5 linked regions of the Rattus norvegicus genome follow. The protein of the gene in region 1 purifies or fractionates together with the protein of each later gene. This does not show direct contact. Links are inferred from orthologs where the notes say so. Each region holds a gene or a part of one and is shown in the gene's direction. Other genes may lie near its edges.

Region 1 (4,316 bases):
ACACTTTATGCAGGGCATACACACACACACACACACACACACACACACACACACACACATAAAATAAATGTATCTTTAAAAAAGATCTGTACTGGGGTTGAGGATTTAGCTCAGTGGTAGAGCGCTTGCCTAGCAAGCGCAAGGCCCTGGGTTCGGTCCTCAGCTCCGGAAAAAAAAAAGATCTGTACTATAATACACGGTAGGAAGGTGTGGAAATTGGGGTTTTGCTCGTTTGTTTTTAGTTTTTTGAAGGGCAGCTAGAAACCAAGGGTTTGCACATGCTTGGGTATCCTGCAAGAAGCTGTCTTACTCGGGGTTGGGGATTTAGCTCAGTGGTAGAGCGCTTGCCTAGCAAGCACAAGGCCCTGGGTTCGGTCCCCAGCTCCAAAAAGAAAAAAAAAAAAAAGAAGCTGTTTTACTTGCCTGACTGTTACGAACAGGATTTGCCTGAAAAGTAAAAACACACCAGTTGCCTGGGCACCTCCATAGATGGATTTTTCCCTTCAGAAGAACCGTGCTTTAAACCTGCTTGAGAGTCTCTTTCTTTTTTTTTCAAGGGAAGTGTAGCCTTGGTTGTCCTAGAATTCTCTCTGTAGACCAGGCTGGCCTCGAATTCAGAGATCTGCCTACCTCTGCTTCCTGAGTGCTGGATTAAAAGCGTGCGTCGTCACCGCCCGGCAGAACACGCAATCATTGTTCCAAGGGAAAAAAAAAATGCCTGGACCTCATTCCTATCACAGTCGACTTTGGTGGTTGCCTCTCTCGCTTTGACCTGGAAGGCTAACAGGATTCAGTTGTTTAAGACAAACTTTGTTTTTTGAGTCTATTTATGACTGTTTATTTTTATTTTTTGCAGGTGTGGTGTTGTATGCCTTAAATCCCAGCACTCTGGAGAAAAAAGGGCAGACGGATCTAAGTTCGAGACCAGCCTAGTTTACGTAAGCAGCTCCAGGACAGCCAGCTAGAAGACTCTGTCTCAAACAACAGATTTCACTATTGGGTATGTCGGGAACAAAGGACAAGTTTAAGGAGTCAGTTTTCTTCTGGCACCTTTACATGGGTTCTGGGCATCAGACCCAGTTGTCACCCACGGAACCATCTCGCTGGACCTTGTTCAGACAATTGTTAATGGCTGGACCACACCGGACAGTCCAGATTCCAATGTGTCTGTGTGCACCGCACCTGGCTACAGGGGCTGTCGAGGCAGTAAATTCAATCTCACATTTAGGCAGTCAAGCTGAAAGCAGAATGGAGCGGAGTGGAAACAAGAAAAGCAAGCAGCAGTCTTCTCCTGCACCGGTATAGCATCAGGATAACCCCGCAGACCAGGATGGTGGGGCCAACGCCTCTGGGTGTCCAGCCTCTTCCGTCCGCTTCTGCTCCAGGGCACAGCGCGTGGGGGCGGGGAGGAGAGGCGGAAGCCGACGGTGCCGGGCGCGCGCACGTGCGTGGTTACGTGCGTGCGTGGGCGCGGTCCTTAGCACGCCGTGCGCTAGGCGGATGTCCGGGCCGGCTGGGCCCGGGCGGCGGACGAGATGGCGGAAGGCCGGGGCACCCATGAGCGACCGGATGTGGAGACCCAGAAGACGGAGCTCGGAGCCTTGATGGGGACCACGCTCCAGCGTGGGGCTCAGTGGTGAGCGTCCGCTCTGCCCTCCCACCGCGCAGAGCGTCAGGCCGGCTCGCTGGCCCTCAGGCCGGACCCCTTTCCTTAGTTTTAGGTAGAGGCGGGCCGGGGGCGGTGCCTGGAGTCTCTGAAAGAGTGGCTTGACAGCAGCCGCTGATGAAAGAAACCCCGAGATCAGCTAGGGTACAGCGTTGACAGATCTGGGGTTTGTCTTGGTCCATTCGTATTCACAAGAGTCTTGGGCCGGAGGGGATAAGGGGTGTAGAATATAGAAATGGGGGAGTGCTCCGGTCGGCGGGAGCAGGAAGGTGGGAAAGCACTTAACCATCGAAGACTTGATGCTGACCTTGGTGGGGGAAGCGTCCACATCTTCTAGACCTCGGCTCCTTAAGAATTAAAACTGGGTAGCAATTTGTGGCTTATGACGCTCAGGAGGTTGAGAGACTATCAGAAGCAGATACTTTGTAACTTGTAAACTGCGGAACAGAATTCAAGGCCAGACACTGAATAAATGTCTAAGAACTCAGATTGTCAGCTGGTCAGGAACAATTGTAGCAGTAGTTAGATCTAAGAGTGGGAGGGGAGGGGAGCAAAATAGAAGATCGGAAGTTGCAAGATTTTGCCAGGCGTGGTGGCATATGCTTTACTGTTGTTTTGCAGGCGCAGACTGGAAGGTTGCTGTAGTTTCAGGGCTGGTCTCTTATACAGTGAGCATGAGTCCTCCAAAAAAAAAATATTCCAGGTTTATTTGAGCAGATTCAAATATGAGGCGTCTCAGTAGATTGTTAACTAGAAGGGATAGTACTCCTCAGTAGTGGAGAAATGGCTGGGTGGTGCTACTGTGTAGGAGTCAAATACTAGCGTAGGTTTCCCATTGAATATTACCAATATGGGGTTGGGGATTTAGCTCAGTGGTAGAGCGTTTGCCTAGCAAGCGCAAGGCCCTGGGTTTGGTTCCCAGCTCAAAAAAAAAAAAAAAAAAAAAAAAGAATATTACCAATATAGGGACTGGAAAGGAGAATAGAAATTATGTGTTTGGGGGGTGTGGTTTAGGTATAGTTTTATGCTGTTTAAATTGAGCCAATGAAAGGCCAGACAAATTGAGAGAGCTACTTTAGAAATTATTCTGCAAAGGGATGACACATAAAGAATACTCAGCTTGGTATGGATGAGCGTACCTGTAGTCTTAAGGCCTGGAGAGAGGTATTGCTGCCAAGGTTTGGGCAATGCAATTAATAACTTAGTAAACATTTTACTTCTAGAAAGCGTCCATTTTACATGAGTGCTCATGGGCTGGAGAGACTGCTCAGCAGTTAAGAACTTATAATGGGCTTGCGGAATGTGAGTTTGAGGCCCAGCGCTCATGTTGGGTATCTCTCAGTCATGTATAACTCAAGCTCCAGGGATATCCACGCCCCGACCTCTAAGGGCACTTGCATTTATACTCATACTTATGTGCATAACTAATAAAGTGCATAGTTAAAAATAAAATCCTAGCCCAGGAGTGGTGGCGCACATTTTTAGTCCCAGCGCTTGGGAGGCAGAGGCAGGTAGATCTCCGAGTTTGAGGTCAGCCCGGTCTACTGAGTTAGTCCAGGACAGTCAGAGAAACCATGTCTTGAAAAACCAAAGTAAATAAAATCCTAACTATGCATAGTGTCACACAACTTTAATCCCAGCATCTGGGAGGCATACACAGGTGGATCTCTTTGAGTTCAAGGCTATCCTGGGCTACATACTGTGACCCCCCCCTCCCAAATGTAATTAAATTTTAAAATTCTTTTAGAAATCGTTTATGTTTTTGTTTGCTTGGTGTTTTGTTTGTTTGTTTGTTTCCGAGACAAGGTCTCCCTGTGAGCCCCTGCTGGTTTGGAACTAGAAATGTATGCCAGGCTGGCCTTAAACTTGCAGACCCTTCTGCATCTGCTTCTTGTGTACTTGGATTACAGATAAGTGACGGCACAGCCAGCTTTATGGTGTGTGTGTGTCTGTCTGTCTGTCTGTCTGAGTATATGTATGACATTCATGACATTCATGTACCTGTGCAGAATAGAGTTGTGCATACCATTCATGGGTGCTGGGAAGAGCGCCAAACTCTCAACTTCTCTCTCTCTCTCTCTCTCTCTTTTTTTTAAGATTTATTATGTTATTCATATAAGTACACTGTAGCTACCTTCAGACACCCCAGAAGAGGGCATCAGATCCCATTACAGATGGTTGTGAGCCACCATGTGGTTGCCGGGAATTGAACTCAGGACCTCTGGAAGAGCGGTCGGAGTTCTTAACCACTGAGCCATCTCTCCAGCCCCTCTCTTAACTTCTGAATTCTCTTTCCAGTCCCTTGTTTATTTTTTTCAGACAGGGTCTTATTAGGTAACCTTGGGTGGTCTGGAATTCCCTGTGTAGACCAAGCTGGACTGGAACTCTTAGAGATCCAAGTGTCTATGCCTCCTAAGTGCTGGGATCTAAAGGCATGTGTCAGCATGTGTAGCTTTGTTTTGTCTTTTACAGATATGGTCTCTTGTAGCCCAAGCTGACCTCAAACTCATCGTGCAGTGGAGACTGACCTCTTTGCCCAGACCTCCCAAATGCTGGAATCACAGATATGGGCACCCAAAAGCTTCCTTTACTTATTCTCTTACCAGTCATTTCTCCTAGTGAATACCTGGCCTAGATTAGGCCCTCTCTG
Region 2 (3,516 bases), on another chromosome or scaffold:
GATGTCACCCAAAGCCTACCACCGGTGTGTACATTTGCTTTTTCCCATTGTCCCTTCCAGTTGGCCACTCTTGGTCCTATTAAATTCATTTTGCAAATTAGTCAACATATTTGAGTTCCCATTGTATGATAAGAAGAAAATGTTATTGGGGAATACTAAAAAAGAACAAATCTCTTTTCTGGAAGAACTTAGCTTTTACTTGGGAGAAAGTAATACCTAACACTTGGCAAACAGTGTCAGAGTATAATGTGATCTAACATGAGCCGAGCTCGGAGTGCTGAGACGGTGTGAAAGAACAGTTGGATCAGAGTGGGGTGAGATAGATAATGAGGAGAACTTCCTGGAGGAGGTGAGTTTTAGACAGGATTTGTGGGAAAGGAAGAAGAGCATTACAAACATAGGCAGTAGCACTGGTAAAGATCTTGACATGGGAACATTTATCAGAACATGGGAATGAAATTTGCTTGAATCAGGAAGGAGAATGATGAAGTTGGGTGAATGGTCCACTTGGTGGAATATCTAGAAGACCCTGCTTCTTGCAAGTAGTTTTTGAAAGATTGTCGTATTTCCCTGGGGAAACCACAGGATGCTGGTAGGGGTTGGGATGGTTCTTCCTTTTTCCCCTAGGGAGGGATACAATTCTTTCATTTTGGGTTCCTTTAGGAGGTGTTTGGTGATGACTCTGAGATCTCAAAGGAATCATCAGGGGTAAAGAAGCGGCGAATACCCCGTTTTGAGGAGGTAGAAGAGGAACCAGAGGTGATCCCTGGACCTCCGTCAGAAAGCCCTGGCATGCTAACGAAGCTCCAGGTCAGTTAAAAGAAGCAAAGGGATTTTTGTGAGTTGAAGCACATGGGTTCAGGCCCACAGTGATCGTGATTTGAGTTTGTGTTAACTACTTGGGGGAGTTTTATTTTTTCCTTTATATTTTAGCAGTCTTTGGTTTGATCAGAAGTAACCCAGCTAAGAATTATTGAAATTGGATTTATTGAGCACCTGGTATGATACATCATCATCGGAAAAAGAAAATGAAATGACAGCACTTAGCTTGACTTCAGAGCTTCTTTCTGATTTTGTTAGGACATAACCAGGGTTCATGGAGACATCTCTAAAGAGCCTGCACCATTGCCCATGCACACCTACAGTAGGAATTCAGGGTCCGATAATGTGATTATTAACATTTTTAAAGACAAGGTCTTGCTATTTAGCCCTGGCTGGCCTGCGATTCACAATGTATAAGATCAGGCTGGCCTCAGACACAGAGATCTGCCTGCTCTTGCTTTCCAAGTGCTGAGATTAAAGGCGTGTGCTGTCATGCGTGGCTCATAACCATGATTTTTAAACATACTGTGAATGTTTATGTGCACACAGGAACCTGTGGGAGTTACGTGTCAGATACCCTAGGACTGGTTAGAGATGGTTGTGAGCCACCTCGTGGATGCTAGGACCTGAACTCAGGGCCTGTACAAGAGTGGTTGGTGCTTTAGCTCTGAACCATTTCTATAGTCTCCCTGCCTGCTTTTAACATAGTAGCTTGTTAGGAAGCACGCATGCACTGCTTTCCCCCCTTTTAGATTTGTGAGAAGTTAAGGTATTAATGCCTTATCCAAAGAAATACAGGCAGAAAGTGTGGCGCAGTTCTAGCCTTATACTGTCTGAGTCTCAGTCACTGTAGTGTATGCTACCTAATATACCAGTCCTAACTTGGGGGTGGGGAACGATCAGAAAATTCTGGTGCTTAAGTGTATATCTTCTTGTCTGTGGTATAGATAATATATTTATTGTGGAGACATTCACAAAATTTTGGGTCTCTGGAACTGAATGCCTTTTCATTTAGGACCATGTATGGGGGAAATTAATCTTTTCAACCTTTTCCCTCTGGAGAGCAGATCAAACAGATGATGGAGGCAGCAACGAGACAAATCGAGGAAAGGAAAAAGCAGCTGAGCTTCATCAGCCCCCCTGCACCTCAGGTACTGAAAGACGGGTTAGCACATAGTCTGTTGTCATTCGTCCACTCGAGGGTCCAGCAAGTGCTCCAGCTGTCTGCCATAATCTGCCACGGTGTCTATGTGTGTATCTGTGTTATGCCTGTTTCAAACTCTTGGATTTCTTTTAATCTCTGTCTTATAGCCAAAGACACCTTCTTCTTCCCAACCAGAGCGACTTCCAATTGGCAACACTATTCAGCCCTCCCAGGCCGCTACCTTTATGAATGATGCCATTGAGAAGGCAAGGAAAGCCGCTGAACTACAAGCCCGAATCCAGGCCCAGCTGGCTTTGAAGCCAGGGCTTATTGGCAATGCCAACATGGTGGGCCTAGCTAATCTCCATGCCATGGGCATAGCTCCACCGTGAGTATCCTTCACACAGTCCCTTGTCACTTCTAACATTTTTGGAGTAGTTAATTAAAGGTAATTTACTTACATGTTTCTGTCTTTTTTTCTAAGATTTATTTATTTTATATATGTGAGCACACTGTAACTGTCTTCAGACACACCAGAAGAGGGCATCGGATCCCTTTATGGATGGTTGTGAGCCATCATGTGGTTGCTGGGAATTGAACTCAGGTCCTTTGGAAGAGCAGTCAGTGCTCTTAACCGCTAAGCCACCTCTCCGGCCTGTTAATGACTTATTTTCTCAAAGAACATTAAATAATTTCTTACAGTTTTATATTTTTAATATATGATCTAAATTCAGTTGCATTTATTTTTGGCTTTTGTTGTCTGCTTATAACTGGTAGAAATAAAATAATGTTTTCACTTAATAACAGAGGTAAGAATAGAATCAGATTTCTGGACTTATTACTTAAGAGCTTCAGCCACTAAACAATATTGGTTGAGACTCTATATGTCTGCAACTCTAACTCAGGAGGGAGAAGCAAGAATAGTGAGGTAAATACGAATTTAGACTAGTCTACATAACAAGTCCTAGGCCAGCCAGAACTTCGTAGCAAGACCCTGTCTCCTTTGTGATTGGTCTAGCATCCCAAGACTAAGAACTTGGGTGCAAATGATAGAGTTGTTTCCCATGCATCCCAGTAGTAGAACGTCTGGCTAGTATGCAGGAGGCCTTGGGCTCTCAGTCCCTTGAACCACCACAAAAGGGATGGGGGTGAAGGGGAATAACCTAGAAGATGGCTCAATGGTTAAACCACTGGTTCTTCTTCCAAAGGATTCAGGTTCAATTCCTAGTGTCCACATGGTGGCTCACAATTGTTTGTGACTCCAGTTCTGTAGGACCCAATGCACTTACACAGACTTACATGCAGACAAAACACCAATGCAGGTGAAATAAGAACAAAAAAGGGCAGGTGAGGGTTTGGTGGAAAGGTGGCTAGTAGTTCAGAGTACTTGCTGCTATTCCAGAGGACCAAGGTTTGGTTCTCCGTACTCACAGGTTGGCTATCTTTAAGTCTGGTTCTGGAGGACCTGAAAATAAATTTTGAAAAAGGAGAAGAATTTGGGAATAAAACAAGATTAGATAATGACCAGGTGGTGGCAAGAGCACATGTCT
Region 3 (3,516 bases), about 12 Mb from region 1:
CTCCTTCCCTGAGTGGCAAGGGCAATCCTGAGGAAGAAGATGTGGACACCTCCCAAGTCCTTTATGAGTGGGAGCAAGGCTTTTCCCAGTCCTTCACGCAAGAGCAAGTAGCTGGTAAAGCAACTCTCTGTGTTACCTTCCCTGACAGGGCTGCGTGGGGCTCAGCCCAGCATGGGTGGGGTGGAGGGAAGGCGGAGGGCAACGGAGTCTCACATGCCCAGTGAGTGTTGGATTTACCTTTCCCAGACATTGACGGTCAGTACGCCATGACTCGGGCTCAGAGGGTCCGAGCTGCCATGTTCCCTGAGACACTAGATGAGGGCATGCAGATCCCATCCACGCAGTTTGATGCCGCTCATCCCACTAATGTCCAGCGCTTGGCTGAACCGTCACAGATGCTGAAACATGCAGTTGTCAATTTGATTAACTATCAGGATGACGCGGAACTTGCCACCCGTGCAATTCCTGAGCTGACCAAACTGCTAAATGACGAGGACCAGGTGAGCAGTGATGCCGCTAGCTTTTCAGTTTACTGTGAGGGAAGCTGTCAAGGGGATGCCAATGGCTGGCTGCCCCATATCCGGTTTTGGAAACTCATGGTGCCTCTCCACCCTTATTCTAGGTGGTCGTTAATAAAGCTGCTGTTATGGTTCACCAGCTTTCCAAAAAGGAAGCTTCCAGACACGCCATCATGCGCTCCCCTCAGATGGTGTCTGCCATAGTGCGCACCATGCAGAATACAAATGACGTAGAAACAGCCCGTTGTACCGCTGGGACCCTACACAACCTTTCCCACCATCGAGAGGGCTTGTTGGCCATCTTTAAATCTGGCGGCATCCCAGCGCTGGTGAAAATGCTTGGGTAAGAAGAGAACATGGTCAGGGAATGCGCTGTAGGAAGTAGAGGGTTGCTGGCGTGGCCAACAAAGGTGCTCCCCTTTCTTCCAGGTCGCCAGTGGATTCCGTACTGTTCTACGCCATCACCACGCTGCATAATCTCCTGCTACATCAGGAAGGAGCTAAAATGGCAGTGCGCCTAGCTGGTGGGCTGCAGAAAATGGTTGCTTTGCTCAACAAAACAAACGTGAAGTTCTTGGCTATTACGACAGACTGCCTTCAGATCTTAGCTTACGGCAATCAGGAAAGCAAGGTAGAGTGCTGAAGGTTGTCTCTCTCCACAGAGTCCTCACCACACAGGCTCAGAGATGTGTGTCCCATCCTTTGTGTGCATCCTAGAGAATGTGTCTGTAAACATTGAAGCTCTGTGCCGTGCTAAGCACTGAAGGGATGGGGAGAGGCCTCCTGAGTGAGTGTGTACACTTGGGCAGAGAAGAGGGGCTGGGTGTACAGAGGAAATGGTGTTTTGGGGTCTTGTAGAGATCTCTGAGAGGAAGTGAGGTGTTACCCAGGAGGAGGCGGTGAGAGGATGACATCTACAGTCCTGAGGAGGGAGAGGGTAGTGTGCTGGAGAGAGGTTAGGAGACAGTGTGTTGAGAGCTTTGGGGATCCTGTGAGGCTCTGTGATCTTAAACACAAGCACGGGATGAGACCTGCCTGTGGAGATGTTCAAGGACCTTACGGATGTAGGAGTGGGTACTCTACAGTGTCTCATAAGTGTGCACATGTAAGATCAGGGTCGGAAGCTACAGACTCTTAGTGCCATTTTCAGCTGGCTGTTCTGACAGAACCTTCACCACTACTACAGGCAACCCCACTTGCTTTTCATGGTCTTTTTCCTTTGTGTTCACTGTGGGGAGGTGGCAAGAGTTTTGTTTTTGTTTTTTTTTTTTAATAGTTTTTTTCCACACATTTCTGGTTTGCCTGCATGTATGTCTGTGTGAGGGTGTCAGATCCACTGGAACTGGATTTGCAGACAGTTGTGAGCTGCCATGTAGGTCCTGGGACTTGAACCTGGGTCTTCTGGAAGAGCCATCTCTAGCTTGAGCTGGTATATACTTGAGAGAGTGGGGGTGCCTGGATTTGAGCAGAATGTAGCACAGGAGTCACATCCTTGGGACCCTACTTGGAGGCTGTGGATCAGAGGGCTCCAGAGAACGTGGAATTGCAGGCTGGCTAGAGTTCTTAAGTACAGGAACTGGTGATGGCCGCTCCAGCATTTCCTGAGTCTCCTGACTGACAGTTCCATCTCTCTAGCTCATCATTCTGGCCAGTGGTGGACCCCAAGCCTTAGTAAACATAATGAGAACCTACACGTACGAGAAGCTCCTGTGGACCACAAGCAGAGTGCTGAAGGTGCTGTCTGTCTGCTCTAGCAACAAGCCGGCCATCGTGGAAGCTGGTGAGTGCACATACACAGTCTGAGAGCTCACAGTGCACACTCACCTTTCCCTGCGTTACTGCTCAGTTATTTGTCAAAGACAAAAGCACATCGCTCCATAAAGCTTGTTTCTGATTTTGATTTTGGTAAATGTGAGGTTGGGCCTCACTAGCAACCCTGTGAATATAGAGTCCAGCTTACTAGAGAAGTGGTTATGTCTGTCTTGTTCTGTGTGAGATTTGTTGTGAATGTCTTCTTCTCAGTGAGCCGTTCCCTACTGTTTTTGTCCTGCGTTTTAATTGGGCAGCTATGTATGGCAGTTTATGTTGTGCCTGGTGATAAAGAAAAACAAGGTTCATGTCCAAGCCTCTTGGTTAGGGTGAAAGTAGTTTCAGTTCTCTGGCTTCCTTTCAGTAAGCAGCTAACATCTGTCTAGGCTGCTGAACCAAGCAAGCTTTAGATCCCAAGTAGAGGTGGGAAATGGTGAAGGCATTATGTGGGGGAAGGCGCTGAAGATGAGGCACTGGGTTGCAGCAGCCATCTTTGGGTTGTTGGGAACACTTCAGGTTACTGAGGTCGTTGCTAACAGTGAAACCAGGGGCCTGTAAGACTTGTTTAAATATGTTTGTAGATTGATAAAGTTCATAGGTAGCTGGGATAGCTGGAGATGGATGTGCATGGACTTTCTAAGATGTCCGGGTCATTCTGATGTGGATGTTTATCTTTGAAGTGGTGTAATTGACCTATACCATGCATTCATCTGTGGAGCGATGGGGAGCTGTTCCTACGTAGTCTTGTGAAGATGAGCACAAGACTCGAAGGCAGGTGCTGGGCTCAGTGCACAGACATGGAGCCCTAGCACTTAGGCAGGGGCAGAGTCAAGAGGTCTAGGACTTCCTGGGTTATTTAGCAAGGCCTTGTCTCAGAATAGAACAAAGGAATGTGTGCTATGACAGGAGTGGACAGCACACAACAATGACAGCTACTGAGGAGACCACCCAGACAAGGAGTGCTGCCTGGCACTGGGAAGGGGTTGGGGGGAGGAGCAGTAACCTCGTTTTTGCTTGAGACATGGGAGTTTAGATGCTCTTTGGGTGTAGAGCATTGTGTGGGCCATGTCTCAGAGCAAGGAGAATGTTGGTACAAATACAACTTGAGCGGTGTCAGTAATGAGCTAGGCAGGGCCCTGGTGCATGGGAGTAACTGCTGTTTTGGTACCACACGGAGAGCACCGCTAGA
Region 4 (3,516 bases), on another chromosome or scaffold:
CCTAGGAAGCGCAAGGCCCTGGGTTCGGTCCCCAGCTCCGAAAAAAAGAAAAAAAAAAAAAAGATTGAATTTTCTGACAGCCATTAAATTTTCATTTGGTTCGAAAAATGACCTGAATTTTAAGAACCTACCAATTCAGCTAACCATAATCTTTAAAAGTTGGGTCAGAGACTGACTTTCCAATTGTTTTAGTTACTTTAATACTTTCCTATGTCTGTCTTTCCCCTTAATCTTACAACATAAAACATTTGCAGTTCCCAGTCTTAGGTTCTTGGTGTTTGGGGGTTTTGTTCTGTTGTTTGTTTGTTTGTTTGTTTGTTTGTTTTAGATATACATCTACCTGCTGGTTTGTATATGTTCTGGTCAGATGCCTGTGGAGGCTAGAAGAGGTCCTGAGACCTCCCTGAAGCTGGAGCTAGAAGCAGTTGGAGCTGCTTGATATGAGTGCTGGTAGTCAAACTCCAGTCCTCTGCAAGAGCGGCAAGAGCTGCTCAGCCACTAAGTCGTTTCCGGAGGGCAAAATTAGAGAGTTTTCATCTGTTTGTAGTTCTGAGTATTAGAACCCAAGGCTCCACAAATGCTAGGTTAAGTTCTGTTTTGATACAGTTTAAGGACTGGGGATTTAAATTGGTTCAGTGATCAAGCATTTGCATAATGTATGTAAGGCCCTAAGTTTGACCACTGACAGTACGAAAATAAACAAACAAGTGACAGATTTAAAATAGTCTTCCTTTGCTTTTCTCTTAGAAAACTGTCTCACTGTTGAGTTTCTTAAACTTGAGTTAGTTTTTCATTACATTTTGATTTTACACTTTTAAAATTCATCCTGAAGTTATAGTGGGTAATTCTTAGCTTGTGAACATTTGTGTGTGTTTTATAGTCTCTAGTTCCTTACTAGCCATAGATCTAACAAGTTTAGATATGAAATCTATTAGAGGAGAAGCTATCAAAGGATTCTTCTTACAGTCTGATTCACGGTCAACAGCGTCTTTACCGTTCTTGAATGTATCACAGGCACAGGATTTCAGATTTATTGAGCTTGTGCTTTTATGATCGATTCCCAGGTGACTTGTGTGCAATCCTAAGAATTTCCTCTAAAGTTTCCTTTTACATTCACCTGTGTTTTCTACCCTTCATTTTAACGTATTTTGGTATTGAACTATTTCTATGCAGTAGTAAGTTATATAAAGTATTAAAACATTAGCACTTTCTTCTCTTCATATTTTTTTATTGTGATAAAATTTAGATAACAAAATTAGTGGCTTTAAAGCCTACAGTACAGTGATATTTATATACTCACAATATTGTGCAGCTCCATTCTCTGTCTGATTACATAGCTCTTCATTCTGATTCCTTTCACTTCATATATTTTGGGGATTTATTTGCATTGTAGCATTTATCCACTTTAAGCATGCTTTACTATTGAAGGAACCCCAAGGTCCTGTGAGCCCTCTTGGAAATGAGCTCTACCACTGTCTCAAAGAAGATCACAAAAAACAGCCTTTTATGGAATCTGCAATAAGGAACGAAGATAACGTAAGGTAATTTTGAGCATGGATATTTTTGTTTGTTTTATTTTGTTTTGTTTTGTTAGTGTAGCTCCATAAAGCTTACAAGGCTGAGTGTCTCAGCACTGCACTCCCCCAAAGTGGCTGCTGGTGCCCTGTCCATATTCTCCTCCCGCATCATCAAGCATCGTCAAGACCTCCCAGCTTTGCTTTATCCCAGTAAATAAAGTCTTTACACTGTGTCTCCAAACACTAAATGGTGCGAAAGACCCAGCTTATGTAACATTTGTGTGTGGGCCTCTGTGTGTGTGTGTGTGTGTGTGTGTGTGTGCGTACCATGTATTCCCAGGAGGTCATGGCTCAGAAGCTCTCGAGCTGGAGTTGTAAATGTCTGTGAGCCACTGTGTGGGTGCTGGGACTCAACCTGGATGCCCTGCAGCAGTTGTCAGTGCTTCTGACCAGTGAGCTGCCTTCTTCTTGTCGTTTTTCTCAAATATCATAATATTTACTAACAGTACTTATGTTGATAAGGCATGCTTAGGATATGAATTGATCGAAGCTTAGAGGATTTATTTTGCTGTCTTGTTCCTGCCCCTTCTCTCATGCTTTCTCCCCACATCCTGCTTAGTTTAGGTTCATCTGTTAATAACTCATCAAGTAAGTTTTATTCCCATTTCTCTTTTATTTAAATGGACAACAGAAATGTGGCTCCAAGGGTTGAATATCTTGTCTAAGATCGTATAGCTATTGAGAGCGTTTACATTCAGTTCTGCGATGTAGGAATTTTTTCTTGGGATTTCTCATAAGTTTAATAATAGCAAAAGACTCGGAGTCCTCAGTGGGCTCTGGAGTCCTCAGTGGCTCATTTCTACTTTCATCTGCTCTGCTAAATAAGGAGAAAACAACACTGCTTCTTACATTTGTGTTAATCATCTGCCTCTAATGGGTGGATAGCACCTTACTATTCTGTATCAAGAAATGTTTTAATGTACTGTTTTTTAAATTTTTACCCCATTTTCAGTTTTAAGAAATCTTATATATTCTTTGTTTATTTAGGTTTTCAGACTCTGCTTCAAAGGCCCCTCCCCGAGAACTCACTACTCGGGGGTCATCTCCCGTGTTTGGACCTACCTCTACCGTGAAAACTCATTTGGGTTTGAAAACAAGTTTCTCCCCTTCACTCTTAGACAGTGGGAAAAAAAACCTTCTGAGCACAGCTCCCTTTAGCAGCATTTCTGTTTCTAGATCAGAGAAAGTTAGATCCAAATCAGAGGATAATGCCCTTTTCACACAACAAAGTGCTGGGTCTGAGGTAAAGGTCATCAGCCAGTCATTTCCTAGTAAGCAGATTCTTACAAGTAAAAACGTTAGTGACTCTGTCGACGAGCAGGGTGGTGCTGATCACATGAAAGATGCTGTTAGTGATAAACACCTGGTGCCTTTGAAATCACTGGGAGGCAAAGCGTCCAAAAGGAAGAGGACTGAGGAAGAGGGTGAGCACGCAGTACACTGCCCGCAGACCTGTTTTGATAAGGAAAATGCCCTTCCTTTTCCAATGGAGAATCAGTTCCCTGTGAATGGAGACCATGTGATGGATAAACCTCTGGACCTGTCAGATCGGTTTGCAGCTAATCAGCGTCAAGAGAAGAACCACGGGGATGAAACTTGCAAACACAAACTTAAGCAAGTGACTATTTATGAGGCTCTGAAGCCCGTTCCCAAGGGCTCCTCCTCAGGCCGCAAGGCCTTGAGTGGGGCCTGCACACTAGCCCAAGACTCTGCAGAGACATACTGCTTACAGCAGCGCACCCTCCAGTGCTCTAGTAAATTCTCTCCAGACCATAACACTCAATTACAGATAAAAGAAGAAAATCCTGTTTTCAAAACACCTCCACGTTCACAGGAAAGTTTGGAGACAGAGAATCTTTTTGGTGATGTGAAGGTTTGTGTTAAATGTTCAGACATTTTGATTAACACTGTTTGTGATTTCATTTAGGTGCTAATAATT
Region 5 (3,516 bases), about 51 Mb from region 1:
TGCCTAGCAAGCACAAGGCCCTGGGTTCGATCCCCAGCTCCGAAAAAAAGAAAAGAAAAGAAAAAAAAAGAATCATAATAAACTTTTTCCCAAATATGATGATCTAGAGAGTACTCTTAGAGTTTCAAAGAAAATCCCCATCAGGAGCTGTCCAGCACAGAAAAGCCAAAAACAGGTGGAAGAGCGACTGTATCATCCTGGCTGCCTTGTAACTCTATGTAAACCATGCTGCCTTCAAATGGTGATGATTGGAGGTGGCGATCCTGCCTTTGTCTCCTAAATGTAGGATTCTGGGCAAGAGCTGCAATGCCCTGTTGGTTCCTTCCTCTTTCCTGTTGCCATGGAAAAGTCTATTGTGCTTATGATTATCACCTTACCTTCCCGATAGCCTTCCACAAGCATTTCTCCTTATGTACTACCGTAGAGAACATTTGCAGTTCTTCCTGTGGACAGTGCCAGATTTTCTTAGTCTCTGACTCTCTGGGTGAGATGTCTTTCACCCTAGCGTCCTCTGCATGTGTCTTTTCCAGTGCGCAGACTGAGTCCCTTAAAGGAAGTACTGTGTCTCTGTGTAGCTTGCTCATAACCAGGGCTCACCACATAGTAAGGGCATTGTATGTTGAAAAGCAAATGGGTGAAAGAATTTAAGAAAGCTACTAGCATTCTGGAAATCTAAGGAGGCTATAGAGCTGTTCTTAACAACTGGGTCTCTAAAGTAGTGTATGAGTTGCAAGTTGGTGGCTGGGCATGGTCTGTAGATGTCCTGCTACCTTTCTTAATTTCACTTCTGTTAACCCTGAGTTACTGCAGTTTTGCAGAGTGCAGTTTCTTCCTTAACCCCAGTTTCATCTCTACCACTTTCCTATTGCTACTATAATTTTGAGACTTGGACTTTTGTGTGTTTCAGGGCAGGTGATATTACAGAATTAAAAATCTTGGAGATACCAGGTCCTGGAGACAACCAGCAGTTTGGAGACCTTCATCAGACAGAATTAGGCCCTTCTGGTGTTGGGTACCAAATGAGTATCAATCAGAATGGAACAGGCAAGGTGGTCAAGAAGCCAGCCTCTTCCAGTAGTGCCCCTCAGAGCATCCCTAAGAGGACAGATATGAAGAGCCAGGACGTTGCCATTTCTCCTCAGCAGCAGCAGTGCTCAAAGAGTTATGTGGACAGGCACATGGAGTCTTTGAGTCAGTCCAAGAGCTTCCGTCGTCGGCACAACTCCTGTAAGTACAGTCAAGGTGCTGTCTTTTGTAACCTGGTGTTTCAGGCTGTAAACACTTACCTACTGTTGCTCCTTCCATGAGTCCGTGATTCCTCATACAAAGGGTTTCATGGAGATACAGTGTGTTTCTGCCATTCTAGGGCCAGTCCCTCAAGATACCAAGGAAAAGGAAATGACTTATTAGAGGTTCACCCAAGCTTCTTGCCCACTTTGTCACTTTTCTCCCTTCAGGAAAGGTCTTGGATCTGCACCATATTCATGTTTTAAATCTCATAACTGTTGGGGTTGTGATACCTGATTGACTCTACTTGGGGTATTCCAGCTAATTTCTTGAGTAGACTTTTACTTAGAGAGGAGGGGCTAGTGTAGGCATTGCTGTTACCTTTCATTTCTAACAAGCTGATTGGTTTGTTTGTTTGTTTGCTTTGTTTGTTGAGGTACTGTGGACTGAACCCAGAGCTTTGCATATCTGGCAAGCATTCGGCCACCAAACACTTAACCCTAGCCTTAATTGAGTATTTTACTTTTATTTTTTTTATGTCCCCACTAAAGGCGATTAAGGAAAGCACTTACTGGTATATATTACTCTCTGGTCTTGCTTGCTAGTAACAGATATAGAACCATAGATGGGTCACTAAAACCTGTAATGTTTTTAAACGTGTACTAGAGTAATGTAATTTTGAGATATAACAGATTTGTTCACATCTGTTATGTTCCTTAAATACATATGAATGGTCTTTTTAAAATTACTTCTAGGAAGGCTGGATAATCAGCCTGTTGGTTAAGAGCACTTGTTTTTGTAGAAGACCCCATTTTAATTCCCAGCATGCAAATGGGAAGTTTACAACTCTGTAACTCTAATCCCAGGAGAATCTGATACTGTGTCCTGATTTCCAAAGGCACTAAGCAAACATGTGCTAATATATGTATATGTAGGCAAAACATATAAAGTAATAAAATAGGACAATTTTAAAAATTACTTCTAGGACTGGAGAGAAAGCTCAGTAGTTAAGAGCAGTTTGGCTGTTTTTACAGAGGACCTAAATTCAATTCTCAGCACATAACTGCCTGTAACTCGAGCTCCGAAGGTTCTCTTCTGTCTTTTGGATACCTGTATATATTTATAGACACACAGACACATACATATAAATAAAAATAAATATTTAAAAATGGGTTTGGAGGGGTTGAGGATTTAGTTCAGTGGTAGAGTGCTTGCCTAGGAAGCGCAAGGCCCTGGGTTCGGTCCCCAGCTCCGAAAAAAAGAACCAAAAAAAAAAAAAAAAAAAAAGGGTCTGGAGAGGTGGCTCAGCAGTTAAGAGCACTGACTGCTTTTTTTGAGGTCTGAGTTCAGTTCCCAGCAACCACATGGTGGCTCAAAACCATCTGTAAAGGGATCTGATGCTCCCTTCTAGTGTCTGAAAAGAGCAACAGTGTACTCATATACATAAAATAAATAAATAATTCTTTTTAAAAAAAGTTTAAAAGAAAAGTACTTCTAAATAGTAAACTATCTTAGGGTTACTGTTGTTACAATGTAACACCATGACCAAAGCAACTGAGAGGAAAGGGTTTATTCAGTGTACACATCTACATGATAGCTCATAATTAAGGAAGTCAGGACAGGAACTTAAACAGGGAGGCAGGAGCGGATGCAGGAGCCACAGAGGAATGCTGCTAACTGGCTTGCTCCTCATGGCTTGCTCAGCCTGTCCTCCCATACAGCCCTGGACCACCAGCCCAGGGGATGACACGACCCACAATGGGCTGATTCCCATTCCCACCCCCCCAATCAATTATTAACTTAAGAAAATGGGCTATAGGCTTGTCCACAGCCAGATCCCATGGAGGCATTTCCCCAATTGAGGTTCCCTTCTCTCAGGTGACTCCAGCCTGTGTCAGGTTTACTATCCAGCACACTATTCTTACTTTTCTTACATTTTATACCTAGAAGTAGTAGCAAATATATTAGGAATTTTAAGTGTGTTTTCGTTGATACATGTAAAACTCAAACTAGAGTCATACTAAAATAAAGCCAAGGCATTTCCTACTAAAAGGCAGAATTTAGAATGAGCTGTTTTCTAGAGCCCACATAGGAGTGGGAGAGTTGATTACAAAAGGTTCCAGATGCCACTTACTGTCCTTTTGGCTCCTTGTTATTGTCCCAGTGACCGTCATAAGATTTTGGTGTGCTCTTCAGTTCCAACTTGTGATGTGACATTTGTGTCAAGCCTGACATTTAAGTTTTAGAAATTCCAACTTTGGGCTGAAGCAATGGCTCAGCAGGTTAGAG

What was found.
Region 2: the proteins of Usp4 (region 1) and Prpf3 purify together in Homo sapiens (co-immunoprecipitation; 4 studies listed by BioGRID and IntAct, with this or other methods). This does not show direct contact. The link is inferred for Rattus norvegicus from reciprocal best matches to the Homo sapiens genes USP4 and PRPF3.
Region 3: the proteins of Usp4 (region 1) and Ctnnb1 purify together in Homo sapiens (affinity purification with western blotting; 3 studies listed by BioGRID). This does not show direct contact. The link is inferred for Rattus norvegicus from reciprocal best matches to the Homo sapiens genes USP4 and CTNNB1.
Region 4: the proteins of Usp4 (region 1) and Rbbp8 purify together in Homo sapiens (affinity purification with western blotting; 3 studies listed by BioGRID, with this or other methods). This does not show direct contact. The link is inferred for Rattus norvegicus from reciprocal best matches to the Homo sapiens genes USP4 and RBBP8.
Region 5: the proteins of Usp4 (region 1) and Edc3 purify together in Homo sapiens (co-immunoprecipitation; 3 studies listed by BioGRID and IntAct, with this or other methods). This does not show direct contact. The link is inferred for Rattus norvegicus from reciprocal best matches to the Homo sapiens genes USP4 and EDC3.

The regions. Positions count from the first base shown.
Region 1 is NC_086026.1:117,913,144-117,917,459, forward strand, and holds the start of Usp4 (ubiquitin carboxyl-terminal hydrolase 4), read left to right. Parts: upstream 1-1,511; 5' UTR 1,512-1,535; coding exon 1,536-1,636; intron 1,637-4,316.
Region 2 is NC_086020.1:186,082,423-186,085,938, reverse strand, and holds part of Prpf3 (U4/U6 small nuclear ribonucleoprotein Prp3), read left to right. Parts: intron 1-663; coding exon 664-810; intron 811-1,889; coding exon 1,890-1,973; intron 1,974-2,133; coding exon 2,134-2,354; intron 2,355-3,516. UniProt on the Homo sapiens protein: Plays a role in pre-mRNA splicing as component of the U4/U6-U5 tri-snRNP complex that is involved in spliceosome assembly, and as component of the precatalytic spliceosome (spliceosome B complex).
Region 3 is NC_086026.1:129,534,570-129,538,085, forward strand, and holds part of Ctnnb1 (catenin beta-1), read left to right. Parts: coding exon 1-114; intron 115-246; coding exon 247-500; intron 501-622; coding exon 623-861; intron 862-947; coding exon 948-1,149; intron 1,150-2,153; coding exon 2,154-2,298; intron 2,299-3,516. UniProt on the Homo sapiens protein: Key downstream component of the canonical Wnt signaling pathway.
Region 4 is NC_086036.1:3,239,973-3,243,488, forward strand, and holds part of Rbbp8 (DNA endonuclease RBBP8), read left to right. Parts: intron 1-1,428; coding exon 1,429-1,541; intron 1,542-2,564; coding exon 2,565-3,450; intron 3,451-3,516. UniProt on the Homo sapiens protein: Endonuclease that cooperates with the MRE11-RAD50-NBN (MRN) complex in DNA-end resection, the first step of double-strand break (DSB) repair through the homologous recombination (HR) pathway.
Region 5 is NC_086026.1:67,008,526-67,012,041, forward strand, and holds part of Edc3 (enhancer of mRNA-decapping protein 3), read left to right. Parts: intron 1-907; coding exon 908-1,227; intron 1,228-3,516. UniProt on the Homo sapiens protein: Binds single-stranded RNA. Involved in the process of mRNA degradation and in the positive regulation of mRNA decapping. May play a role in spermiogenesis and oogenesis.